Linked DNA regions of Oreochromis niloticus. The protein of the gene in region 1 interacts with the protein of each later gene in a pairwise test. Links are inferred from orthologs where the notes say so. Each region holds a gene or a part of one and is shown in the gene's direction. Other genes may lie near its edges.

The links.
Region 2: the proteins of cep76 (region 1) and nhlrc2 interact in binary tests that used the Homo sapiens proteins (3 or more experiments, as listed by UniProt). The two-hybrid records come from large-scale screens. The link is inferred for Oreochromis niloticus from reciprocal best matches to the Homo sapiens genes CEP76 and NHLRC2.
Region 3: the proteins of cep76 (region 1) and pard6b interact in binary tests that used the Homo sapiens proteins (3 or more experiments, as listed by UniProt). The two-hybrid records come from large-scale screens. The link is inferred for Oreochromis niloticus from reciprocal best matches to the Homo sapiens genes CEP76 and PARD6B.
Region 4: the proteins of cep76 (region 1) and pom121 interact in binary tests that used the Homo sapiens proteins (3 or more experiments, as listed by UniProt). The two-hybrid records come from large-scale screens. The link is inferred for Oreochromis niloticus from reciprocal best matches to the Homo sapiens genes CEP76 and POM121.

Annotation. Positions count from the first base shown.
Region 1 is NC_031976.2:5,547,205-5,554,398, forward strand, and holds the start of cep76 (centrosomal protein of 76 kDa), read left to right. Parts: upstream 1-4,189; 5' UTR 4,190-4,392; coding exon 4,393-4,455; intron 4,456-5,037; coding exon 5,038-5,193; intron 5,194-5,426; coding exon 5,427-5,511; intron 5,512-5,604; coding exon 5,605-5,829; intron 5,830-5,937; coding exon 5,938-6,123; intron 6,124-7,194. Other genes in the region: ptpn2a (tyrosine-protein phosphatase non-receptor type 2a), read left to right, coding at 1-166. UniProt on the Homo sapiens protein: Centrosomal protein involved in regulation of centriole duplication. Required to limit centriole duplication to once per cell cycle by preventing centriole reduplication.
Region 2 is NC_031973.2:14,310,543-14,318,107, forward strand, and holds the start of nhlrc2 (NHL repeat-containing protein 2), read left to right. Parts: upstream 1-4,557; 5' UTR 4,558-4,715; coding exon 4,716-4,878; intron 4,879-7,138; coding exon 7,139-7,291; intron 7,292-7,565. Other genes in the region: dclre1a (DNA cross-link repair 1A protein), read right to left, coding at 20-138, 1,498-1,631, 1,724-3,085, 3,758-4,184. UniProt on the Homo sapiens protein: Required for normal embryonic development.
Region 3 is NC_031984.2:31,749,907-31,756,979, forward strand, and holds the start of pard6b (partitioning defective 6 homolog beta), read left to right. Parts: upstream 1-4,053; 5' UTR 4,054-4,412; coding exon 4,413-4,475; intron 4,476-5,779; coding exon 5,780-6,002; intron 6,003-7,073. UniProt on the Homo sapiens protein: Adapter protein involved in asymmetrical cell division and cell polarization processes. Probably involved in formation of epithelial tight junctions.
Region 4 is NC_031975.2:24,313,462-24,320,334, reverse strand, and holds the start of pom121 (nuclear envelope pore membrane protein POM 121), read left to right. Parts: upstream 1-3,860; 5' UTR 3,861-3,895; coding exon 3,896-4,470; intron 4,471-5,148; coding exon 5,149-5,355; intron 5,356-5,584; coding exon 5,585-5,734; intron 5,735-6,524; coding exon 6,525-6,605; intron 6,606-6,725; coding exon 6,726-6,873. UniProt on the Homo sapiens protein: Essential component of the nuclear pore complex (NPC). The repeat-containing domain may be involved in anchoring components of the pore complex to the pore membrane. When overexpressed in cells induces the formation of cytoplasmic annulate lamellae (AL).

The DNA of each region.
Region 1 (7,194 bases):
GATTGCCAGCACAGCACAGAGGGTCCAACAAATGAAACAGAGACTGACAGAGTCTGAGAGGAAACAGGAGAAGTGGCAGTACTGGAGACCCATCCTGTTCAACGTCGGCGCCGGCGCCGGGGCTGTCTTGGCTGTAGGCCTGCTGTACTGGATGTATTCCCAGTGAAGCACTGCGGGTCATTTAAAACTGACTCCTATTTTGCACCGGTACCTGGGATTAGGTACTTCTTCTCGACATAGATTTAGACAGTAATATGTGCAGAATTGAGGGTATTTATTTCTCAAGGTCAAAATGTGGGAGCGCTAGATCAAACGAGCGTCTGTATATTTTTCATGTAAGATCGAAACAAAAAAATAGTAACATCTCAGGATCTCGGTGCCAGCACGATGATTTAATTTCCTTTCCTTCTTGTCACTGCTCATGAATGTACTGTATCATAGCAAAAATGGCTTTGCAGAAACTTACTAAAGGTGCAGTACAAAGAAAAATATATAGTGACAGGTTTATTTTTACATTCTTTATTTGTAATAGTCAGATATGTGTCGATCAACACGTTTTACATTTTACATTTCAGAATGACTTGTGTTGACTTGTTCATCCTACTGTAGACTTGTAGGAAAACTCCAGAGCCAAGAGGTCAGCTGTAGGGTTTTACTTTTCTTTAGTTTTAATGTAATATAATGAAATGCATGCGTTCTGTGGTTTTCCAGACCACCACTTGTTCTTCCATTCACATTTAGCAGGGCATCCCAACACGGCCAGAAGAATATTTTTGTGTGACTGGACACTTCATAGGGAGCTTCCTTGCCAATGTTTCACACTCTGCTAGAATGTTCATTTTCTGTTATGTGCACACTTTTTTTTTTTTTTCTTTCTTTTGCCTGCATTTGTTAGCTGCCACATGGATCATAAACGTTGCCCCCTAGGAAGTTATTTACCCACTGGATGGGTTGGTCTGTGTATGTTCAGGTGATCACGCTTTTTTTTTTTTTTTTTTTTTTTTTTTTTTTTTTTTTTTGTTTATTTTAAGAAACCAAAGCCTGTTTTTAGGAAGGTAACAGTCAGACAAGCTCCTAATGATGAACCCTCGTATACTCCCCTCATGTCGAATGTATATTCTGTTGAATCTCTCTGTCATAACTGACACCTGTATTACAAAATGATGCTAGTACCGTTCTACATCCTGTCCGTGTTTTGAACCCACATGATCGCCGATTCGGTTTTCAATTGACTGGGACCAATCCAAAGCTACAATAGTGCAATTTAGAAGCTGAAGGAGAGCACCTTGGATTAAATTTAGAAGAGAGCGATGTCCTTGTGGGCTGGTTGATAAAGCGTTTAATGTGCCTTGAAATGTGTTAAATAGGGAAAGGAGGAAAAAAAAGTGCGCTCCCAGAATTTTTTTTTTTTTTTGGTGTGTGATCAGTACAGAAAATTGTCATGTCGCACATAATGTGAGTAACATGTTTGCACTGCAATGACCAGATTAGAGGTGGTGTACAGTAACATGTGTTTGAGTTGATTGAACATTGAATGTGTCATTAGCATGTATTGACTCCTGAAGTGAAATTTTTGATTGGCTACAGTAGAACATGGCTTTTATTTTATTATTATTAATATTGTTATTTTCTTATTTAACCCCAGAGAAGTGTAACATTCCATTCATTTATTGTTTTCTGTGTACAGTTTTCAGGGGAGTTTTGTACACTGAGCTGCAGTGTGGAACATGACAGAAGAGTTTTGATGAGAAAAATGACAAAACCAAACAAAAACATTAAATACTTCATAAAAAATAAAATTTTCTTTTTTTCTTTTTTTTTTTTTTTATAAACCAAACTTTGCTTGCCTGTTCTTTAATTCTGTATCCGTAAAGCAGCTTTACCCACAGCTCTTCCCATCTCACCCACTTTCTGTGCTGTTACTCATAATTTCATTCTGACCATGAGCTAAATCAATGCAGACAGACTGGAGACCTCTCACTGTGGATTCCAGGAATTGATTCAATATTTCAAGAAGAGGCCATGCTCACATTGACTGCTGTAGTAATTTCATTTTCTCTTGTCTGGGACTGTGTGTGTATTTTGTGTTGAATGTATTTTGTGCCTTTGTACTTATTTCAGCTTGTCTGTTTGATGCTGGCTCGATCTCTGCTTTGTCGTTATGTCGTACAGCTCCTCCTAATTCTTTCAGCCGGTCCTTTTAGAGGTCGCCACAGCGAATCATCTGCCCTCCATCTCACACTGTCCCTAGCATCATCCTGCTCTGTCACACCAATCCTCTGCATGTCCTCCTTCCCTACACCCATGAACCTCCTCGGAGATCTTCCGCTCTAGCTTGGTCACTTCTAGCTCAGTTTCCTTTTTGTCAGTGCCACCATCTCAAAAGAGACGATATGTAAACCTTCCCTTTCAGTGTTTCTGCTGTCCTTTCACAAATCACCCCTGACATTTATCTTCTACCCTGCCTCTACTCTGTTCCTCACCTCTCCCCTGCACTGTCTGCTTTTGGATGGTTGACCCCAGGTATTTAAACTCTATCTTCACTCTCTCTAATTATTGTACGGTCGTCTTATCACCTGTCTCCCTCTCATTCACACTTGTATTTTGTATTACTTCTACTGACTTTAATCCTCTACAGTCCATACCACCACCTCTATGGGCTCTCATCCACCTACTCCCCAATCACACTACAGATCAGTGTCATCTGCAAACATCATAGTCCTGCCTGACCTCAACTGTCAGTATACGCCCATTGCTTCTGAAAACAAGAAAGGGCACAGAGCAGATCCTTGATTGTTTATAACTCCTACTGCATGCATCACCACTGTCTCATTGGCCTCATACATGTCCTGCACTACACTCGCACACTTCTCTGGGCCTCTTGACTTCCTCATAAAGTACCACAGTTCCTCTCTTGGCGCTTTCTCTAGATCCACAATGGCACAGTGAAGCACCTTCTGACCTCTATACTTCTCAATGATTACTCTTAAATATAACATCACATCTGTAGTGTTCTTTCTCTGCATGAGGCCATACTGATGCTCAATGATCATAACCTATATTAATTTAGCTTCAACTCTTTCACATATCTTTATGGGCTGACCCATCAGCTTTATCCCTCTGTAGTTACTACAGCTCTGCACATTACCTTTGTTCTTCCCCATACCTCAGGCATCTCTCACTTTCCACGGTTGTGTTAAACAATCTGGTTAAAAAGTCCACTGTCCTCTCTCCTAGACATCTCCATACCTCTACAGGTATGGTGTCTGGACCAGCTGCCTTTCCACTCTGGATCCCATTGTAGCTGCCCTCCCTTCCTCCTTACTAATCCTTGGCTCTTCCTGATTCACTAACTGTCCTCCATCCATCCTCCTCTCTCTCTTATTTTCTTCATTCATCAGCTCCTCAAAGTACTCCTTCAGTCTTCTCAACTCCATTTCTTCACTTCATAGCTATATCTGTCCTGAATCACTCTAACCTGCTACACGTGCTTTCCAGCTCGATCTCTCTGCCTAGCCAATCTGTCCCTTTCTCATCCATTAGTATTTGGTCTCACATACAACTTAAGACTTTACCGACCCACCACCTCTTTGTAACATCTGTTTTCCTCACCATTCTTCATCCATTGAACCCCGCCCCTCCCCGAATGACGACACTCTCTACTCATTAACAGAATTTAAACAATAGGTCAGTTATAATGCAACCATATTCACCATAAGTGTCTTTTTCTTAAAACACTTGACTGATATTTGACACAAATCTTGCCCCCTACTGGCATAATTATAAGTACTTATAATACGTACGAGTCATTAAAGCTTAGAAAGTTACGTTTAAATTTTTATTCCTTTGTCGATAGGCAGGATATGCGTAATTTGATCCATTTATGTCTTGCCTTAGTATGAAAACGCCTCCACATATAAAAAATAAACATAAAAACAGTGGCTATAATTTAAACTACAATTCAAGGGTCTTTCACATGTCGTCGCAATTCGTGACGCGATTGGGGTACGTAAAAATATCCCTGAATAAAATGGGGAATATTTGGTGAGCAAAAATGAAATAAAACTACAATAAATGCACCACCAAAAATACGTATATCGTGGTTTATATGGTGATTCTTATAAATCCTGTAACTTTAGAGCAAAATTGTCGAGGTATTGATTTTTTTTCCGGAGTATGGTGTCGGGCATCAGCGGAGAAACCTTCCCGCTCGCTTTTCCGCCACTGTTTGAACTGGCAGTTGTTGCTGTCAGAAAAGAACATTTCTGCGAAAAATGGCGAATGCACACAAAGTTTCATTATAACTCAACGGCGTTATTTATTGTTTCTACCAGTACCCATGTATAAGCCTGGCTAGCTAGCTTAGCCTAAAAAGCACAAATAATAGCAATAATGTCGCTGCCTCCAGAAAAAGCTTCCGAGCTGAAGCAAATCATTCACAACCATCTGCTCAAGGTGAGAAAACTACATAGATTTTATGGCTATTCGTGTTGTAAACAATGTACAGTTGAATGCTGAAGTCCTTAAGCAGCATGGTTACACGGGTATTTTTCATGAAGGGGGGAAGCTAGCTGTTTATAGTGGGCAAATAGATTTTTTTTAATGTCACAAATTCCTATTTCCTTGCATTTGCACATCACAGAGAAATCACATATTACCACCTAGTTGGTAAGATTGGCTGCACCATCTCTTTATACAGCATTATTTAAAGCACCGTTGGGAACCCGTGCTGTTTTCCAGCCAAGCGTCTATAAGCAGATAAAGTACAAATTCACACAGCAAACAAGACCAATTTCGATCCTACATTTGTTGCTGATTTGAATGAAAAATTGATTTGTAAAAAGTAATGAATGAGAAAAGATTTCGCATCAATAATGCACCGAATAGACGGTACTTATAGGTCTACTGATATAAAACATACACACACACTTCCCAAAATCAGAGTTTAAATGGGAAAGGACTGTTTTTAGAGGATGTTTAGAAAGCACAAACACAATTTTTAAGTAGGTGAAGGAATTTTGTTTTTCTGTTTGTCAGATGGATATCCATGGGAAGATCCGAGAGGTCCTGGCTGAGACTGTGAGGGATGATCAAGGCCCAGCACGTCGGTCTCTGTCTGAAGCAGATTTCCTGCGTGCTCTGCAGCGTAGAGGCATCATAGATGATATGATGAAAGATCTTCACTTTACACAGGTTTCCCAGCTTTTTTGATGCAATTTCAGACCTGCATTGCTAATTGGTTTTTAATATAGAAGTATTTTTCATTCCATCCATCAATCAAACATCTACAATGTATCAATCCCCTTGATAGCTACGTTTTACTTTCACAGTTTGCCTTCAGTATGGATTAAAAATATCTGTAATACAGTGTGTCAGTTCTGTCCCATCTTTTCTGACTGTTCTGTCTTGTCATTTTGGCGTGGTAGGAAGCCGGCACAGAAGCAGAAACGGGATCACCTACAAAACCTGCTACTCATTTTGTTGATAAAGATATCACTCATCTGAAAAAAAGTAAGAAACATTATTTGCATACCAAGCAAATAATAATATGATGCACAGATTGTTTTGCCTAACGTTATTCCTCTTCTACTTTTCTCTTCTCAGCCAATATTGACCCATCAAGGCGATGCCTGTATCTCCAGGTGCTTGGAGGGAAAGCCTTTTTGGAGCATCTCCAGGAGCCGGAGCCCTTACCTGGTCAGGTGTGTTCTACCTTCACACTCTACCTGCACTTCCGCAACCAGAGGTTTCGATCAAAGCCAGTGCCCTGTGCCTGTGAACCTGACCTCAAGGAGGGCTTCCTGTTAGAGATCCACAGAGACGGTATAGGTGTGTGTTAACCACAACTGTTTGTGTCAATCACAAATACTGTTCTCATTGTATTGCTTAATAAACCATCCATGTACAGAGTATAATTTTACAATTTTTGTATTCCAGGGGAAAGTGGTAAGATGGCAGATGCGACCTCCATGCTGTCAGTGTGTGACCCAGTGCACTTTGTGCTGATAAAAACAGACACCTCAAGTGAAACAATGCTTGTCTCATCCTACTTCCTGGACTGGAGGACTGTCCTAAGCTCGCCCAGCTGCAAGACCTGCTTTGCTGTAGAGCTGATGGGAGTTGGTGAGCAACAGACTCTCTCTGCACAAAGAGTTTCTAATGAAGGGTTCTTTTGATTTTAATTTTGAAGAACAAAAGCAGAAGTCAAAAAATCATGCTGGATATCTAGCTATATAGACCGGTTAATGTGTTGGTTGGAAATGAAAATGATCAACCTACAAAGTGCTGAATTCAAAGACACTCCCACAATAAAAGTGAAAAAATGATGTGGCAGTGCTCTGGGGTGAGGTGCTCTGTTGGATTTAGGTGAGCGGAGGGGTCAGTAAGTGGTATAAATTCCTTCGTCCTCCAGCCTGCATACTCTCACCCCATGAGGCCGGGCATTGTGTTGCACCAGACGGAATCCATGACCCACTGTATCAGTGTAGGGTCTGACACTGGGTCCAGTGATTTATTCCTGATATCTAATGGCAGTCAGGGTTCTGTTGCCTAGCCTGTAGAGGGCTGTGAAGATATGGCTCCCCTGACCATCACTCACTGACCACCAAACCAGTCATGCCAAATGATGTTACAGGCAGTATCATTCTCCAAACCCCTTCGCATCTGTCACATGTACTCAGGGTGAACCTGCTCTCATCTGTGAAAAACACAGAGCCATTAGAGGACATCAGGCCCTCAGGCCACTCTAATGAAGTCTGTTTCTGATTTTTTTGTTAAGAGACATTCACACCAGTGACCTGCTAAAGATAATTTTGTAGCTCTGGAGTGCTCATCCTGTTCCTCCTTGCATAAAGGAGCAGATACCGTCATGCTGATGGGTTAAGGATCTAAGGATGTCTAGCTGTCTTAGACATTCCTGTGTCCTGGAATGTCTTCCATGCTCTTGAGACTATGCTGGGAGACACAGAAATCCTGGTAGGGATTATTGATGTGCCATTCTGGAGGAATGGGTGGAGTGCCCACTCCGGGTCGGGGATGAGTTCCTGCCCCAAGTGGAGGAGTTTAAGTATCTCGGGGTCTTGTTCGCGAGTGATGGGAGAAGGGAGCCGGAGATCAACAGACGGATTGGTGCTGCGGCTGCAGTGATGCGGACGCTGCACCGGTCCGTCGTGGTGAAGAGGGAGCTGAGTGTAA
Region 2 (7,565 bases), on another chromosome or scaffold:
GATGTCACAGATGACTCACTGGTTAGCGTCTAGGAGGATGACCCGGACCCCCTCCACAGTGACTTCAGTATTCATTGGGAGGATGTGGACGTACTGCTCGGCCACCCTCAGTTTGCTCTTCACCAGGTTCCCTGTAATCTAATCAGGAGACACAGCTGAGAGTGAACAAATCTTTGCAGTTTACAGTGATGATCAGGTTTCAAACAATCTCAGATATTCATGTAACTGTCTGCAGAGTAATTCACCCCACCCCCCGCCTCCCAAACCCTGGCCTTGAAATCTTATTTACACAATCTACTTTCTAATTACCCTCTGTGATTATGATCAAACTTTTCTGGGCTGTGATCCACCTGGCGCCCACGCTCAAAGTCTGTGGCCTAGCAAACGGAGTCCCAATAAGTACTTATAAGTCTGTTTTTAGCCTAATCCCCAGAAAACACACACACTACTGTGATAAACCTGACCCACTTGATAGCAGAACTCCCAACATCTCTAGTCTCTTGACTTTTATATTATTTCAAGTTCATACCTCATATCATACCTGACATTATATATTGTTAAGTCGTAGCTATTTGAACCAAAAATAGGCAATAAAGTCTGAGCTAAAGATTTTACACTTATTTAACTGCAAAAGTCAGTTTATTTAGATAATTCTTTACATTTAACACACCTTCACTGATGTAGCTTTTTCACAGTAACAACAAAGGGGATGGCAAACAACTGGGCCCCAGATAAACTTATTTTACTGCACATCAAATGTTGTATTACTGTGTCCAAAAGAAGAAAAAAAGATCCCACAAAGGTCTTCGAATTTTAATTGACTCAACTGTGATCAGAGCCATTTGAATATTGGTATTCATAGCTGCCAAACGCAAGCCGCTTTTTCCATTAATGTGAGTCAAAGCAGTGCAGAGAGATAACAAATGGATCAAGTGCTTCCTCTATGAGTTCTGTGGAAGTGAGGAAGCTTTTTAATGAGTTGAAAGTAAATAGGATTTCTGGCGGCAGAGAGGGGTGTGTGTGTGTGGGGGGGGGGGGGGGGGGGGGGGAATCATTTTCAAATAAGTGAATCGCTTCCATACCACTGAAGGAGAAATACAGAAACTGACAAAATGTCAGCCTTTTGCTGACATTGTGTTGGATATAGTTTCAACTGTGGACTCAAAGCAGGGATAAAATCCATCACCCTGACTGTTTTGTATCATAGAGAAACAGCAATTGTCTTATGCAAATAAATGCATATAATAAATCATAGTGGAGTACTTGATTCTGATTTCAAAACGCAGATTGTGCAACCCCAATCATCTAAATCCTGCACAACATAAGCAAGAATGTATTCATGAGAAGGCAGACATCTCTTCATCCAATATCTTCATAGCTGGGTACCTCACAGACAAATGTGATTTAAGGGTGAACTGTCCCTGGCACTAGGTGATCCGGTACCAAATAAAAACAAAACTAAGTAAATTATTTCATCAAAACTACAGATTGACTTACTCTGTTGCAGTAGATGGGAACAGTGGAAGTCTTGGTCAAGCCTCCGTAGTGGTCTGAGTGGAAGTGAGTAAGGAAGTAGGCTGTGATGCCCTCGATCTGTCCATATCTAAAGGCATCAATGGCAAACTTTGTGCCTGGGGAAAGTTTTTTGCAAAAGATTACAAATTAAATAATAATTAATCTTTAAATTTACACAGCAAGAAGAAATGTACATTTGCTTACTAACCTGGGATTTTCTTATAGAAAGGGCAACGGGGCAGCTGTGCTTCTCCATCAGCATTGACTCTGTTCCTCCACCTCCTCCTCCCTGTGGCCCCACCCCTCCCCCAGACTTCTCCCTGTCCATCTACTGATGGGTTAATGGTTTCTGTGGCCTGTGGCGTATCTGCAGGTGTGTCAGCTTTATTTTTTCTCTGCCGCTCTCTTCTTTGCCGTCTCTGTCCCGAGCTCTTCCCAGCCGTTGGAGTAGACGAAGCGTTGAGGTCATTTGGTCCACTCTCTGCTTCTTTCTCCTTTTCCCTCAGCGGTTTGAGGCCAAAAAACACCCCGATGTCAGTTTGTTTGAGACCCGAGACTTGACCGGCTTTGCTGTGGCCCTTCTGAGGGGGCATGGCTTGAGATCTTTGGACAATGGAGGTTTGAGATGAAGGCACTTGAAGAGAAGCTGGTTGCTCTGTTTGAATAATGCTGTTTGAGTTTTGGGAGTGTGAGTTATCTGAGCTCAGAAGAGTGTCTCTCAGGCGCTCTAAGACAATACTCTGTGGAGACTGAATACTAGTCTTATTGATTTCAGAAGCTTCTTTGCCACCTGAGGAAGCAGCTCTGGTCTCAACAGCTAACTGATTAGTGGGTGCTAATGAGGAAACTGCACCCAGCTGGGTGTTTGTAGAAGGCAGATTCTTTCCTTGCACATTGCTGGCTCCTGAATTGCTGTTTATAAAGTCAGTGAGGAGCTCATCTTCACCGGAGAAGCTGTCACTGAACAGCGTCATCGAGTCTTCATGCTCATTTTGAATTGCACTGTCATTAAAAAGAGATTTTCTACATTCTGTAGTATTGATTTCAGTCTCTGCAGGGAACTCAGAAAGAGGAGAGTAGGATATCATGTCATCATTTTCCAAAGAATCCTCACTTTTGTGTAAATCTTCACTAGCCTGCTGTCCACTGTTTTCCTTGACAGGGATGGATAAGTCCTCTTTATTACTTTCTTGAGAAGCAGTGACAGAGTTTTGGCTTTTAGTAGATGACGACCAGCCTTTCTTTTTCTTAAAATCCTCTGGTCCAGGAGAACGCAGGAGCAGAAGGCCATTTGTAAGTTTTGACTGAGGTGTTTCGGTGTGACTTTGGTGAGGTGAGGAGCTAGGACTGGATAACGCAGAAGGAGTTAGAGCGGTTTGCTGTGAAGAATCTAAAATAGACCCCTGATTTTTGATCAGTCCTGGAAAACAATCCAGGCTGGTCTCAGCCTGTTGGGACAGACTGAGGAGGGCTGTGTCGCTGCTGGCTCGACTGTGGGCCAGAAGTGTGTGGTTGAATTTCTTGTAATGGTTTGGAATGGTGGAGGAGCACCGAAGACCATCTGGACATTCTGTATGAACAGATAAAAAAGAGTGCCTGAACTCGTTAGAGCAGGGTTACAAGAGGATGATATTTATCACTTTACCAACTACGCTATTCTAAACTAAACTGAATGGATGATATATACTATAAACGTATCTTATCATCCTGCTGTTCAGGATAAACACAACTGAGCTAAGTGCATAAAATCAGTGCTACACTGTCAGTGCACATTTCTTTTAATCCTTTGAGCTGTTAGGCTATGTAGAAGCTTTCATGTCATAAGGAATGGGAATCCCTTCTACCATCCAACAAGCATGAAGGATACCATCACAATGCATTATGGGAAATGAAGGGAATTATCATAGATATGTCTGTATGCCATATCTTCTTCCAGCTGTTCCTTTTTGGGAGACACCACAGGAGATCAACCTCCATCCCTATCCCGAGCTTCCCCTTCTGTCACACTACTCTGCATGTCCTCCTTGACTACATCCATTAATCTTCTCTGTGGTCTTGCACTTTTCATTCTCCCTGGCAATGGATACATTGGACAGAATCCTTTGTCCATTATATCAATTATCCCCATCCCACTATGCACCAAACATCTCAGGCTTGCTTCTCTATCTTTGTCTCCAACCTGCTTCCATTTTCTTTCTGCCTCTCTAACTTTAAGATGTATGATGAGTATGGATGTCTGTACCTGTGCACGTATCCCTGGGGGTGTCAATACATTCAGCCACGTGCCATCTTTGGGACTGCACAACCAAAATGAAGAATGGCATCTGACAGATGGGGCAGAAGTCTTCAGGGGATGGGCCCTCGGCTGCAGCACTGTCACTTTGATTTGTTTCTTTTGTGGGAGATCTCTTTGAGTTGAGCTCCCGTGCATTTAAGCTTAAGTTACAGTCGTCTGTTATTCCAGCTGTAGCACTGACTCCACTTTCTGCCGCTTTGGCTTTTGCGTTCCTGTCTTGTGGCTTGATTGAGAGAGAAGATGCGTCTTTCTTGGAGGATTTCCTGAAAGTGCATTTTCTTTTAGTGTTTTTAGGCGGCGATTCATGCCTCTTCTTTTTCTTGCCAAGAGGTTTATAGTCCCAGATGTCATTTTCATTTTCTTTCTGTGACATTTGGAGCAAAATAAAGCGTAACGTGCCCGACGTTACCTCGAAACCATTGTTATTACACAAGGACTGGTGTTTGGTAACATTCCGCGATAACTATTTTAATCACAGCAAGTTAACGGCTACTGACAACTTCCTTATATATTATATAATACACTGCGGATATTTGTTACTGATAAACCGTTGAAGCTCATTATTTAACAACTACATGGAGAAATTTTCCTTCTTGACACACCGTTTACTGACATGTCAGCAGCAGGACTTACCGCCACTATGCTACAATGAATGGAGTAAAAACAACTAGAAAGGGACAACAACACTTTCGACACGTTTTAAACGATTAAATTAGCCAATTGTTTGTTTTGAAGGCTGAAAAAAATAAAAAGCCTATTTTAGAGGGTATTTAATTCGGATAATTGAAACTGAAACTCTTTTAGAGCCCTTATAGTCGATAAGATTTTTTGCTATTGTGTCGAAATCCGCGGTATGAATCTCCTCGCTGCTTTACCGAGCTAGCTGGTTGTTGTTGCTGGAAACATGGCGTCCCGGTGCAGCGTCTCTACACTGTTTCCTGTCCAAAGTCAGCTGGATAACGATCTAGATGACGCTACAACACAGCAAGAAAAAGAAGATCTCGTTCAACAATATCTTAAAAAGTTAGACGAGAGAGAGGACCTGAAGATACCCGATTTCCAGACAGGTTAGACCAGCTTTAGCTTAAACACTTTGCCTCTCTTTCGTAGCAGTTTGACTTGAGTTTGCCAACTCTGCTCGTCACTACAGCACTCGGCATGTTCATTCATATATACATTAAGAATGCTGGACAATCACAGTCTATTTAGGAAGAGCTCTCTTTCCTTTTAAAAGCTAACGTTACAGTACCACACGCCTTGTAACCCTTAAACACAAGTTCTTCATAGTCTGTCAATTAATTAGCTAGCTACCTTATCTACTCCGGAAGAGGAAGAAAAATTACAGGCATTCATGTAATTTAATAGTATGTAAAATATGTCTATTTGTCAATGCAGTACATCGCAGTAGGTCTCACTAATATCTTGTAAACCTTCCTTTTCATTCTTGCTATTATCCTTCTGTCACAAATCACCCGAGTCACTCGTCTCCACCCACTCCACCCTATCTTCTTTACCACTCTTGTGCACTGTCCGCTGCTTTGGATGGTTGTCCCAAAGTATTTAAACTCATCCACCTTCACCATTTCGACACCTTACAGATTAGTAGTCTGCAAGCATCATAGCTTAACAGGTGAGGTCAGGCATGGACTATCCATCACCACTGTAAATAAGAAGGGGCTCTAAACTAATCCCTGATGAAACTTTAATCTCTCTCAACTGCTGCACAGAGTCCTTAGACATACCCTGCGCCACCCTCACATACTTCTCTGTCACTCTTGACTTTCTCATGTGGCACCATAGTTCCTGTCTTGGCACCCTGTCGTATGCTTTCTCTAGATCCACAAGAAGGAGTGCATCTGGTCTTTTCTGTACTTGAATGGTCAGAAAGCTAAAAATCTATTTGAGTGTTACCACCATCTCACATATTGAGTCAATGTTCTGCAATCTAATTAGCCCTAGTTTACATAAGTGGATAAGTTGTTGGGCATAAGTTGTTAGCCACTGAACATGCAGGGTTCCTTGGTTTTAATAGTCGGATCAGCATCCACTTGTCTTTTATATGCAAAAGAATATAAAAACAATCAAATCCTATTCTATTCTATTCTAAACAAAAAATAAAACAAATACATTTAATTAAATATTGTATTTATTGCCCTCCAATTAATTGGTAATGTAATTAAAGTTTAGTTGTGGGAAACTTAGGTCTGCTGCTGAAGGATGCAGCATATTGACAATATTTCACCACACCAGTAGGTGGTGATCTACTGTTAGAACATCAAATACTAGAGTCACACAAGGCTCAATCTGAAAATAACAAGGTCCCCACAACCCGTGCTTCTTTTTTTTTCTTAATTCAGAATTCGTTCTAAATTTATCTAATTGGACTCTCTTCTGCACAGTCAGAGATAAAGAAGAAAAGGAGCCTTTAAGCTGCTCCGTACTGTGCTAATCTTTTATGCATGTGAGTTTTTGGTTTTTTTTGGGGGGGGGGGTTAGATTCTTATCTGCTGCCGCATACCAACAGCGAGGCATATGATCGGTCCCAAATTCATTCTGCAGCAACGATTCAAACATACTGTTGGAGTTCTAAAGAGTTATCTCATCAACAAGAACAAGGTGTCATGCGGCTGTTTGCAAAACACTGTGTGCAAGTGCACTTAAGAGATCTAAAAATGGGGATGAAGTGGAGATTTGTTTCGCCAAAAAAAACCCTTTGGGGCTAAACACTGAAAGAGCAACTAGATTCATCACTAAAAAAGCACACATCTTTACATAGGTACCCCATTGGCTGATATGATTATGAATCTATGTGATTTGTTTTGTTCTTCCTCTTTCGTACATTTCTTTGAAAGGTTAAGAAGGGTTTAGTCTTGAGCAGATTATCAATGGAAAACTTAGGTGGGGGTATTATTCTTTCACTCTGTACTGGATTTTGATACTCACCATGCTGTAAAGTGTGACATTAAACTTATCAAATGTGCACGAGTTAAGCGTGACAAATGCTATCAGACACAATTTAGAATGCACATGAAAGAAGTGTGAAACAAGCTGATCTAAATCTACAACAAAAAACCTTTTTATGGTATTTAACATAACACTTGGGCCACAAGAACTTTCAAGTCACTGCTTTGATCCATCAAACTATCCAACTTTTTCTCCCATGTGACACAAACGCTGTGTCAGGCCCAAGACAGATATGCCTTTTAGGTGTTTTGTTACTATATCCATAGCCCTTCTAGGATGGTAATGTAAAGCATTTGCCTACACCGTGACTAAACATAATTAGAAAGATGACAACATCATTTTCCACTCTGTGATTTGCTCCAGGCTTAGAGTGGCTGAACACGGAGGGGCCTCTCTCTTTAAACAAGGAGCTGGCTGGTAAAGTGGTGCTGCTGGATTTCTTCACTTACTGCTGCATCAACTGCATCCACATCCTTCCTGACCTGCATCAACTAGAGAAGAGACACTCTGTAAAAGGTTTGTACATACTCTACTAACTACGAGGTAGTTTCCATACAGCTAATTTAATCAGCTCAAGGAAAATCCTAAAGTAGAAAAACTGTGAAACTGTGTATTGTTTGAAAACCCTGCTCATCGCTTTCCCTGCTGTCCACATTAAATATAACGTAATGCTCCGTAATGCTTTGCTTGATATTTATTAATTTTTTCCATCCGTCCATCTGCCATCCTGGAAAAGCATGTTTTATCAATCTTTCCCCATTCACATGTTTGTCTTTTGCCTGTTTGATAG
Region 3 (7,073 bases), on another chromosome or scaffold:
TGGGCTATCTGACCTCAGGAATTCACATGACAAGGTGGGGCCAGGTTTCACAATGAGCTCACCCGAAACCCTGGCTGATTAGGTACCACACCCGCTTTCACACCTTGGCTCATGTGATTAGAGGATCACCAGGGGGTCCTTTGTCCCTCCTTGGGGGGATACTCCCACTGGGTTTAAATCTGGGACTCTCGGCCATTTGACCTTAGAACTGAAGAAGCTTCTCGGATGAGAGGTGAAACGTCTTCAAGCAACTCAAAGAAGTCCAGACGCTTTTCTTTGCAAATTCCTTTACGATGACCTGGATGACTGAGAACCTTCACAGACAAAATGAACAAAACAATGAAAAAGGCTCATGGTACTCAATTACTCTACGTTATCGTGTTTTACTTACACTTTTCAGTTGTAGTTGCTGACAATAAATAATATTGATTTGAATAATTAATGATTTTAGTACAAGATACTGATGAGTATAGATACCTATTTCTCAAATATTTTGATTCAATTTTAAACAAAAATATTAAGTACATGCAAAGAAGGTATTCCATGAACCACATACTGAATTTTTTGTCTGAGATAAATGTAAATAAATACCTTAATTTAACACAAACACATACGTTAACATTTTAGACGTTTATTTCAACTTATGAAACTCAAATAATTACTAAAAGGATATTCATAGATTTTATCAGGTTCATCTAACTTATATTTATAGTGATATTTACTAAGCCTCTGAATTAATTTTTAGAGTGTATGTGCAAAACTTATGAAAGTGTAATCAGGGAACTGGAGCTGGAGGGTAGCAGGACACAGGTGAAAATAATCATAGACAATAAGACAGGAGGCAGGAAGTCAAATTAAACACAAAACACTAAAGTCAAGCAACTATCAAATAAAACAGGGTTATACGGATACATGACAAAACTTAGGGGGAACTGACAGGAGGGTGAGTCAGGGAACAATGAGGGGAAAATGCAAACTGGAACTAACACATAAAAGCTCTGCATAAATAAAAATCAAGGAATAAACAGTTTAAAAAAAAATCCCTTATTTTAGATGTTCAATGTTTGATTCTCAAAGTCCAAGAAACCCAGGGACTGTGACATCTACAATATGCTCAGAAGTGAGCAGACTTCTCTCCACATTTGTCATCAAATTGAAGTCTACAATTACTTTACTCTCCTCATTCTTCTCACCACCCTCAGGGTAACCTCCATTATCTCCTCTCTCTCTTTTCACTTCCATCATCCTCTATCACATCTTCTTGTTACACAGACAGACCCTCTACAAGAAGGAAACACACAGGACTGTTATTAGCCTCGTAACCTGCTTATGGCTTCATCCTGTTTTCAATCTTTTGTGTGCTAAAACATCAGAGGTCAAACCAGGTCATCAGAACACATGTAGTCACACAGTATTTCAGTAATGCAGTGTGACTCAGTGGCTAAGAATACATTTAAATAACCTAAATGGTCTCTTTGAGACCCAAGACACAGCACAGCACTGTTTCAAGGTGGTAGGAAGGAGATAGGAACTTAAATATAACCACTTGCTACAACCAAGGTTTGCAGAAGAGCATCTATGAATGCACAACACATTGGACCTGGATGGACTATTGCAGCAGAAGACCACAAACTCATGTCAGCTAAGAACAGGTAATGGAGGATACAGTTTGCACGTTTTCATTGTAAAAAAAAAACAAAACAAAAAAACATTATCTGGTCTATGAACCATGATTTCTGGTGAAAAGTTCAGATGGTAGGATCACAAATGTTGTGTAAATGACATGAAAGCATGGATCCATTCTGCTGTGGATCAGTGGTTCAGTCTGCTGACTGTAGTGATGTAATCGTGTGTGGGGGGTTTTCTTGGTGCACTTTAGGCCCCTTAGCTCCAGCTGAGCATTATTTAAATACCACAGCCTCCCTGAATGTTTTTGATGACCATCCCTTCATGGCCACAGTGTACCCATCTTCTGATGACTGGTTCCAAAAGGATAATGCTCCACATTACAAAGTTTCAATTATATCAAACTGGCTTGTTGAACCTGGCAGTGAGGTCACTGTACTCAAATGGCCTCGCCTGTCACCAGTTCCCAGTCCAATAGAGCACCTCTGGGATGTGCTCAGTTCAATGTGGACCAACATCTCTGAGGAATGTTTCTGGACCTTTTTGAAACAAAGACACAAAGAATTAAGGCAAAATGAGGCTGCAGCACTACTAACAAGATATACAGACAGTGTGAGAGTAAAACTTAGGTAGCTGCTCTCACTTGTGTGGGAATATGTATATGGTTAAACCTATGATGGGTCTAATGAGGTTACAAATGTGCAAAAGAAGAAAACCCATGTTTCAATAATTTTGATTTTGATTTTTTTGTTGTTTTAGTGGAACACCATCTGTAATGAAAAGCACATGACTGTATCAACATAAGCTACCCTGTGTCTGCCTTCTGTTTTCCAGTCATGTGAAGAATCCTTTGCCTGCATGAAGCAGGATATTATACAGAAGGAGGAACTCCGACTATTTTCTACACACGTATAAGCTTTGAAAAAAAAAACTGTTGTGTTTTGTGTCTTTCAGAGGAAGATAAATCATTGCTGCTTTCTGCGCTCAGTCAAATATGTGTATATTTCATCTTCAAATCGAGACATTTGTAGTTTTTAAAACAAGGACATGCATCTCCCTTCGCAGTCTCTGTCTCCCTCTAGTGTCTACAAGTAATATGTGAACAAACGTCGAGCTGTGAGTTTGTTACATGCTTAGTACAACTGTGCAACTTATCAATTTTTTTCATTTTCTGAACTAAAGTGAGTGCTTTTAGCTGAAATTTTGATCAATGGAATTTTAGCGTTATGTTTTATTTACTCAACAAATACATCTCGATTTTCATATAAAATGTCAAAGTGACGGTGCAGAGGGATGCATTTTTCTTGTTATTTGACCAACTAAATCTGACTTCTAAAGTTGTTGCTTTTTTGTTTGTTTGGTTTTTTTTTAAAGAGAGAAGGATTTTAGGATTTTATTCATAGTCAAAATGTTACTCTGTAAAGTAACTTTAAAGGAATATTTTAGTCGTTTTCACTCACTGATAATAACCCTGCTAAGATTCCTTTTGCTGTATTCAGCTAAAAAAGTTCTTTATCTGTTTATACAATAAATTCCAAAGTTCCAGAATGCCAGTTTCACTTTCAATTAAATATAATTAAATAATTATTTCTAACATGTTTTTATGTCTTATGTAAAAAAAAGGACATGGCATTGTGTGAGAGATGCCCTTCTCCAAAGATGAATGTTGTAAAATGTAAAAACTACGCGATGCCTTGTCTTGGAAACAATAATTACGCATCAATAAGCCATTTAATAACGTCAGATGGGCTGTTTATACATTGTAAATTAATATGTCTACAACAACAAAACCTTGTAGACATTTATTATGATGGAATTCTTGGTCTGGGTCACCATGAAGGCATCGAGTTTGAAAGGGTTAAGTATCTGCATTTACCGGGCAGGTAGCCAGCAGCTGCAGCAGGTATATATTGGTTTTGGCCATAAGATGTCACTATAAAATTAAAACACTCACAAGATGTAGCCAGAGCAGGAACTACAGTTTATTTTTTGTACCCATATGAATTCTACATACGCAGGTAACACTTCATTCAACTATCATAAAATCTCTGTTACACTATTAGTTTTTACTGGGTACAGTATAACTGTTTAAATAGTTAATGCAAACGATTTTAATTTAGGGTTTTTAGAGATATGGTCATCATTACGTTATTAGAGTGAGAAAGTACAACTCTAAGTGCATCAGTGCTTCAGTTAACATGATGGCAAACACCCCCCCACACACACACACACACTTAAAATAGTTTTTTTTTTTTTTATGAATGACATTAAAAACAAAAAATGAGGCATTACTGTTCATTATTGTTCGAGCTATTTGGAGCATGGTTGCCACACCGTGCCAGGACAGAGTGGGCTAATGCTGGTGAGGTGGAAGCTGGCTCTTATTTTGAAGCCACAGAGTATTATAAATGCCACGCCTTTTATTTTGAAGTCCCGTATCTCCGGCTCTCCGGGTACGGGCAGGGAGAGAGAGTCGCAGGCAGAGGTAAGCCAGAGACGGTACGCTGTGGGGCTGTAGCTACGGTGTCAGCGGCAAGTATGAGAGGAGACAAGTTTACGAGCTGAAGCTGGCTGATTGACAGCCTCTGTCGCATTCTGTGGAGGGACCACTCATACCGGCGGACGTCAAGAAGTCGCGGTGTAGTCTGTGCGACTGAAACACCCCACAACTAAAACATTAAAAACAACTGGTGGACACACGGGGTTTGTGGATAGACATTGGCAGCGGCGGCAGGAGCAGGGAGAGAGTGTGAGTGCTTTGGCGGCGGTCCCGCTGCTAGAGAAACATGAACAAAAACCACCGAGTGCCGAGCAGCCGTTCTCTGAATGCAGTGGAGGTGAAGAGCAAGGTGGGTACGGACACTTATTTGTCAGGTATCCTTCCAGTGTTTGTACTCCCGACAACCTTCGTCCTCATTAAATCCACTCTTGCTAATTTAGCCTGCTAAAGTGGCTTGATAGCGGGTTATTATGAAGCAAGGCTTATAAACTTTAAGAGGAGCTAACGGTTTTTTTGTTTTGTTTTTCACTGTGACCACCCGGGTGTTTGGTTACAATTCTTAAAACTTTATTGGTAACCGTGGCGTAGTTTTTTGGTCGTTTTACGTCTAAAGGCTAGCTAGTTTGTGGCAAGGTGGAGGGTTTTTGTCAGCTGACTGCGCAGTGAGCCAGTGTCACCTGTCACAGCCTTCTCCGCCGTACTCTCCTACTCGTTTACCGAGTACTGACTTCAAGTTTGAGTCAACTCTTTAACTTAATTTAATCTGCGTGGAAAGTTTGCTCAAATTAACAAAAGTTTATGTCAAATTACGTCGGTTAAAGGTGTCAGTCGTTGCCTGTCGTGTTATTTGCCTGCGGTTACAGGTGTCACACGGCCTGCGTCAGGCTCGTGGCTCCATCCGCGCCCTGCTGAGGCATGACCACACATAAGTGTAATGAATAATGACTATATTGTTCTAGACGTTTTTGGACGCGTTGACACAAGCTGTCAAATATTTTCAGCTGCAACACTCATTTTTTGCCTTCCTCATACTTTACCTAGATTAGTTACTATAGCTATTATTATTATTTAATCAGCTATCCCGGGATTTTTAAGTTTTTTGACTCTTCTGAGTTAAGATTATCTTCCTTATGTCCCCAACCACTTATTAAATTAACTCTGCTTTGCATTGATGCATAAAATAACTGATTAAGCTGGGAGATCATCTTTTGTCAGTGCTGAGCAACAGTAACCACAACAGCCGGTACCTCTCACTAGCACTACCAATGAGGCATTGTGCTCTGTCTCAACTACAGAGCTGCCTAAAGATTAGGCATCTGCAGCCATTGATCCAGTCAGCCCACGGGCTTAAATGGGTAAACCAGCAACACGTTTGTGGTGATTGTACATATGCTGAAAGCACACTGTCTTTCTAATAGCTGCATGATAAATACGCTGTGTGGTAGCTTGATAAAAGCTTTAATCTGCAAGCCTAGAGATACACAAAACACGTGAATAATTTACCACACGTGGTGTGCTTTGGCTTACGCATCAGTACAAAGTAGGCTTATCAAGCACTGTTTCATACCCTGGTTTCGGCCATACGTCACACCTCTGTGTGTATTTGTGTGTTCATTTGCAATCACATGTGAACGCCTTTCTGCCCCATCCCAGTTTGGTGCAGAGTTTCGTCGGTTCTCTCTGGATCGGTCCAAGCCAGGCCGCTTCGACGAGTTCTACGGTCTCCTGCAGCATGTGCATCGCATCCCCAACGTGGAGCTGTTGGTGGGCTATGCTGACGTGCACGGTGACCTGCTGCCCATCAACAATGACGACAATTACCACAAGGCCATCTCCACAGCTAACCCTCTACTCAGGCTGTTCCTCCAGAGGAAAGGTATGCACAGAGGAAGTGTTTGGACAAAGAGTCCCAAGTTTTCATTTGTTTGCTTGGTTACATCTGCTTTGCATTGGAAATGCAAATACAGTCATTAGCATTGAAAAGCACAGCTTAGAAATATGTGATAGGCTATTGACTATAGCTGTGACAGAGTTATAAATACTTAAGTGTCACTTTACATTGTAAGTTTTTAGGCTACTTGTTGTATGTTGCCATGTTCAGCGAAACAAACTAAATGGTAAATGCTAAACCACTGGCCTCTATTTTTTTTCCTTATTGATTTCTAGTTAACTAAGCTAAGGTTAGGGGGCTTGTTGAGAGGAAGAATGCACTTGAAATGAGGAGTTCACTATAAGAGCTGAGCAAAACAACAAGAGTAGACTAATGGAGTTCACTTTGAGTTTGTCCAGTAGGCTGTTTTGTATTGCAGCTCGGTAGCTGCATGGGAGTTGTTTTTTTACGTGTCTGACTGTTTTGGAAATACGGGTTTCAAGTTTGACAGTGCTGCTGTCGAACAGTGTTTCTGTAAACACTGCTGCTGCAGTTTCTAACTTCCTTTGCTGGCTCTGGTGTAATCATTACCAATGTTCCTGCCATAATTGCTGTGCTTTTGCAGTTCCCCTTGTAGATAAGTTTTTAATCTTTAGCTAATAAAGGAATAAGTTGTGGCTGCTCTAAATTCATGCTCACAAGTATGGCTTACCTTTATTTCATGTGTATGATTACTGCAGGTCTTACTATACCAGCCTTGGTGTCTGATATTGGCATATTGCCAATTAACATGGCATTTACTGATGTCAGTGGTCAACATTAATATGTTCTGTCTTCAAGATTTCACACGAGCTGAGTGTTCAAAGATTGTGTTACAAAAAGCTGAAAGACTTTAAATGGGGTCAGTTGTTTCTTTCTTTTTTTTTTTTTGTTATCATGGAGTAAATGAGGTATAAGCACAACAAAAGGGAAAGAAGTAGATTTGGAAACAAAATGCTGCTGTTGGCCTATAATTTCACAATCAGTGTATCCATAGTGATTACATAAACATGTTTCTGTCAGAGTATACGTACAAAG
Region 4 (6,873 bases), on another chromosome or scaffold:
AAACCAGAGCTCCCTCCCCAGCTTGTTCAGCTGAGACAGAGGAAGATTCTTTCATCTCTCTTTGCCTTCACCAAAACAACCATGGCAGTCTCCTACATGCCCAAGCGAGGGAAGAATGTGCTTCTTTTGAGCACAAAGCATAGGGAACCAGCAGTCAGTGATGGGGAAAAGAAGAAGCCAGCAGCAATCCTTGATTACAATAGGTGTAAAGGTGGAGTGGATAACCTAGACAAGGTTGTTGGCACCTACAGTTGTCGGAGGAAAACCAGTCACTGGCCACTGGCTCTGTTCTACAATCTTCTGGACGTCTCAGCATACAGTGCCTTTGTCCTGTGGAAAGCAGTGCATCCTGAGTGGGAGTCCACCAAGACCCACCAACGAAGGGTGTTCCTGGAGGAGCTGGGCCACATGCTGGTGACTCCAGAAATTGCAAGACGGCCTTGTGCCCCACGCTCAAAAGCAGCCGCTGCTATTGTTGCTGAGATACAGCAGTCAGAATCAGAATCAGAGTATGACCCACAGCCCATCAACAAAATGAGGAAAAGGTGCGAACTGTGTATAAACAGAAGAAGAACGGCAACCACTTGCTCCAGCTGTGGAAAGAGTGTCTGCAAAGATCACTCTGCTGTGGTTTGCGTGTCCTGCCTTCCCTGAGTGCGCGCACACACACACACACACACACACACACACACACACACACACACACACACACAGAAAGAGGATGTATTTTGTACAAACAAGCAATAAAAGGCCGTTTTTGGCATGACTAACAAGGTGGGAGTTTCTTTTATTGGGGTCATTACTCACAGGAATAATACAAAATATTAATATTAATAATTATTATTTTTGTTACTGGCACTGACCTGCAATGATTTAAAAAAAAAAGAAAAGGTTTCGTCATTCAACTGCTGAAAAAATTTGAACTTTATTGCTATTTCCCCCCCAAAAACATAGTAGTAACATATAATTTGACTGGTATTCAAAGGGTATAATTTCTAATTTTGAATTATATTTTGGTTTTCATGACTAGGACTGGTTTTCATTTAAAAATGAAGTTGGTCTAAGTAGAAAAATGTTTTAATATAAATGAATTTTATAGCATTTTGTAAATGTAAACAAGGGGTGGCCATTTTTGGCCACGAACAGTCTGAGAGGGAGTTTTTTTGTTTTTCTGCCACTGCAGAAAAAAACAATGTTGCATAAATGTCATTGATGCTGTTAATTATTGCTATGCATCTAACCTTCATCATGGTTAGCAAATAAATCAGATGGCATGTATTATTTAGAAAAAAAACTGGGATTTTATGATTTTCTCTATTTATGAGTTGTTATGATTATGTGCTCTAACTAGTATTTAAAGGGTTAAATTTCAGAATTTTAATGAAATTGTGATTTTCATGAACAGCCCTGATGCTAATCTAAAAAATCATGTAAAAAAAACTGGACATTTTTCTTAATATATATGAATTTTATAGCATTTTGTAAATGTAAACAAGGGGTGGCCATTTTTGGCCACGAACAGTCTGAGAGGGAGTTTTTATGTTTTTGCTCTCTCTGCACTAAAATAACAATGCATTATAATCAGTGTTGATGTGAATCAATTATATGCCCCAGACTCTATACAAGAAATTTCAGTAGCAATGCAATTATATAAAATTGCGAGATTTGAGGTTGTCATCCAGCTGGTGCAGTGGACAAACAAACTGGTGTTTAAAGGGTTAAAAAATAAAAAAGTAATAATTATTTTATATTTATGGAAAGAACTGAAGTTACTTAAAAGCTTTATGCAGAAAAAATGGCAAAAAACCAAAAATAATAAAAATTACAGACCTAATCTGTAGGTGGCCACTTTTGGCCACGAACAAGCTGAAAGGGTAGTGATTTGATCAGACTCAGAGAGTTAAATTGACTTTCATACCTCTTTTTGTACACCAACTGTGACATTCTCTGAAGTAATGACAATCATATTCATGAATATAAATCTCAGGGAGGCCATAATTTCTGTTGTTTTCCTTGTTGTATGTTTTGACATAATATGGTGTTTGATTTATTTCAAATCAAGAAAAACATTTTATCCTCTTTTTTTGTTCTTCGTCTTTCAGATGTTCCTTTTAGGGGGCACCACAGTGCATCCTCCATCTCACCCTATCCATAGCCTCCTTTTCTGTCACACCAGTCCCTATGCATGAATTTTCTCTGTGCTCTTCCTCATTTTCAGTATCCTTTGTCCAATATATCCACTGTCCCTTCTTCTGCATTTTTCCAAACCATCTCAGACTTGCCTCTAACTTTGTCTCCAAACTGCTTAGCCCCCCTGATATTCTCATTTCTAATCCTGTCATTCTGCTCACTCCCAATGAAAATCTTAACATCTTTAGCTGTTTCTCTTCCAGTTCAGCCTCCTATCTTTTTCTCAGTGATACCAGCTCCAAGCCATATATCATAGCAGGTCTCACTACCATCTTGTAAATCTTACCCTTTACTCCCGCTGCTATCCTTCTGTCACAAATCACCCCTAACAACAGCCTCCACCTATTCTACCTTGCATGCACTCTCTTTTTCACCTTTCTTGTGCCCTGTCCATTGGTTTGGATGGTTAACCCCAGGTATCTGACCTCATCCAGGCATTCTCTGTTAAACAGTCTGGTCAAAAAGTCCATTGCTCGCTCTACTAGACATCTCCATACCTCCACAGGTTGTCATCTGGACCATCTGGTTTTCCACTTTCATCTTCTTCATAGCTGCCCTCAGTTCCTCTTTACTAATGATTCACCAACATTCCTTCATATATCCTGCTCTCACTCTCATTATCTCCATCCCAAAGTCCTCATCGTACTCCTTCCAAGAAAAAACATGTTTAAATAATATCACAAAATAAAAATTAACATTCTGCTAAAAACACTTGTCTGTGGTCTTGTCTAGGTAAATAGAAGAGTAGTATGGCAAATCTAAATTTAAAGGTCCACTGTTGTTTGGTGATTTTTGAACTATGCGCTGTTGGACTCAGGCCGGATTATTTTCCCAGGGAATTTACCCATGTAATCTTGGTGGCTGTTTATGTTCCCCTCTCTTCTAACCCCACTGCTGCATTTGACATTATCCACTCTGCCAAAGCCCGGTTACAGACTCAGCATCTGAATGAGGGCAGATCCAATGAGTTGAATTCGTTTTTAACAGATTCGACACTGCAGTAAATGCTCACCCCCCTACTGACCTACCTGTAGTTAACCTGCAATCCACAGCCACGCCACTCTCTCTCCTTCTCTCTCCATATTGCACCATAAAATCTTATGAAAATCCTGACACCCCTCCCACACCTAGCGCTTTCACTCATGACCAGGTTCAAAGAGAACAGAGAAGACTCCACTCAGGCAAGTCTGCTGGACCAAACAGGGTGAGTCCCCTTGTCCTCAAGGCCTGTGCCCCCAGCTTTGTGGAGTCTTTCATTAACTGTTCATGGTGAATCTGAGCCCGCAGAGGGTCCCAGTGTGGAAGACGTCACAGCGGCCCCCAGGATTACAGGCCTGTGGCACTGACTTCCCACGTCAGACCCTGGAAAGACTCATCCCTGACCAGTCCCAAACTATTATCAGGATCCCCTTCACAAACTGCATGCTGTGTTTACTCCAGTTATCTTTGTCTAATATTAAAATTGAATTGATGATCTGAAACATTTAAGTGTGACGAATATGCAAAAAAATAAAAATAATAATCATACATATGTTTTACACAACAGTTTACATTACATTTGTCCTAGGTTCAGCAAAAGGAAGATTAATTTAATGAGCAGTAACACTGGCGGCGTTTAACAGCCCCACCTCGGTAGATGGCGCTAATGCGCGTGAATACAAATATAAATCCAAGAAGTAATGTCGGAAGAACAGCATGATGGGATATGAGAGTCCTCCGGCGGCGCGTTGCCGCCATGTCTCCTAGAGAAAAACATTTATTGCTTCTCTCTGCTCTAGGCCTAGTTACTCTCGCTTTTTATTATATTCCTACTTTTCTTTATGTGACCTTAATTCTTGCAGTTTGTTGTATTGCCTGTTATTATCATAGCGGAGAACCGCTTCCCGCCAGGTTAGGCCCGAATCCTCGGGGTGGGCTAAACGTTCCGGCCGTAGTGCGGCGCTGGCTGTGGAGCTGGGAGGCGACCGGCGTCTCGGTACCCGCACGGGGGAGAGCGAAGAGCAGCGACAGCAACAGAGCCGAGCTCCGGGAATCAGAAGGACACTTAAGACAAAGACTCGCTGAAAGCGGCGTTTATCGAAAGGAATCCTTATCAAGCGAGTCTTTTCTTTTCAGCCCCCGGGATTTTCTCATGGGGAGTTACATCGGGAAACCGGAGAGCCCAACCGCCGACTCGGGGAGGCGGAGAGCCGTGAGAAATCCCCGAGAGCAGCTCCGGGAAAAGCTAGCCAGACCCAACCATGCCGTCTATACTCCAAACAGAAGGCTTTCATTTGCTGGGTATGTTCAGGCTAAAATCAAATCAATCACATCACGGTTTTACCGGCGTAATACAGCCCGTTCTTTTTGAATGGAGGCGGTTAAGTTGTTGGAATTCAAAAGGCTAAAGGTGCAGCTTGGCGGTTTTTAATGACTAACCTTTGAGCCGTCAGAGCGATCTCTGTAGCTCCACACAGCTATCCAAATGTGCTACACGTTACTGCAACCTTATACGTATATATGTGTACAGGTTAAGTCATGTGCAAAAGTTTCCCATTACAGTAATTTACTACTAATATAGTACCGGCATTTCCAATCTGTGAACAGTTATGATAGAAAACTTGAATTGTCGGCCATATAAATTACTTTGGAGCTGAAAAGCATATTTAGCAGGTTTGCTGTATTGGCAATGTAATAATGTATTTAGAAAGCAAAACAAAGCATTAGACTTTTACCTAATAATGGGATTTATTTCCGCTATCGCCCCAACCATTATAGAGACTGACAAATGGTATCTGACATGAAATATTAGAGACAGGAACAACAGTTCACGTTTTCTGTAATATTAGTGAGTATTATATGTTTGGGTTTTCCCATAAAAATCTATTATGGCCATTTGTGGGATTACAAAAACACAGACGAAAAACAGACTTTAAGACCCTTCATTTTGCCTTGGCCTCTAATTGTTCTGTCCTGCAGGGAGACACTGGGAGCAGCGAGCAGGTTCACCATCACACCCCAGCGCCACTACCCCCTGCAGCAGCCGGGTGTCTCGTCAGTGGGAATCCTTCCTCCCGTCAAATGGGACGGTTTCAGAAAGAAAAACATCCTCAGCCCTCGCAATTCCCCGGCTGCCCTCAGTCCTGTCACAGTGAAGATCGCCAGGCCTGACCACAGCTCCCCCAGGTCTCTGCATGATCTATGCATTACAGTGTTTCAGTTTAGATCATCAGCTTGAATCAGATCTCTTTAAACTCTAACATAACCTGTTTTAAGAGATTAATGTCAAAACCCTTTTGATACAACTTTTGCAATGGCTGTTTACCTTTCTTTTTATCCAACGCTTAGTAAATCCCTGATTTGTGTGTTGTCGGCAGCTCTGACTTTTGTGTTTGATTGCTTTATTTTTTTTCAGCATGGACCATTTGAGTTATGCCGTTCTCCCCAGAGCACCTGCCGATCCGTGCTCCAGAGAGAGTGTCCTCAAGGTGCTGAAGGAAAGCCGCAAGAGAGAAGTGGAGGACGAGGACAGGAGCTTTACAACTGAGCAGAAAAGCAAAAGAAGGTACGAGGCAGCACATGAATGCTGACAAGCTTTATATTTGCCTTTTTATGTAGTTTGGCAACACTTTGTTTTGTCTGATAGCTGTAAGGTTATTATAGTAAACTAAAAGTAGGTATAAAAACATTTAAACTGAAATAAATTTAAAAAATAGACTGGAAAAAAAGAACTTACTGTACTCACACAGCAAACCTAAGACACAAAAAGTATCATGTGTTTTGTTTAAACCTTCTTGGTCTGTAGGTAATACATAGTGTGGTTATTAGCAAGGCTACAGAAAAACTGCCTGTTGATGCTTTCAGTTGTCTCTGTCTCTTAGCTTTACGGACAGCTGCAAACAGAATGGATGAATAGCTTTTTCCTATTAACACCATTTCCCAGTCCATTTGTGGTGCACTTGTAAAGCTCACTCTTCTAATGTAATGTTCCAACAAAGTATACACTCCCACATAAGGCCTTGCATTCTTGTGAATGCATATAACAGCTGCATTATAATGCTGTATTCATTGCTTCCCTTTTTTTTCCCCAATAATTTGAATAGATACAGATCACATGCTAATACAAGATACAAATGTGGACTTAAAGTCTTCTATAAATACATTACCGGAGCTCAAATGCAGTTTTGAGTTACTGAAGGATGGCAAGAAAATTGGAAATATCACTAAAACTTAACACAGCACATTTTACATAGGTTTTCTCTATCTCTATTTTCTCTATTTCTCTATATTTCAAAAATAATAAATGGTTGTTGTTTTTTTTCCATTTTATTTGTTTTAATTTTTTACTTCCTAAGACGTAATGACAGCGGTGGAAGTGCACACTCTGCTTTTGAACCCCTTTTGCCCAATGGTACGCCGTCACAGCTGGTTCCGAAGTAAGTTAAACTTTTCTACTAGTCATGCTGTTAGATCATGTCTTATGAAAACCTGTGGTACAGGGTGAAGTATACTGTGGTGCTACCTGTGCATTAAGAGAAATACTTTCCCTTTCCCAGGCCGGGAAGTCTGAAAAGAGGGATGACCTCAGTGACTGAGGAGTCCATTATGAAGAGGTCTCGGACATCCTCAATCAGCTCTGGCAGTGGAGCTCATGCCCCAAGAGGAACCCCGGGCACCAGGAGAAATGCCATCCAGAGTTCCTAC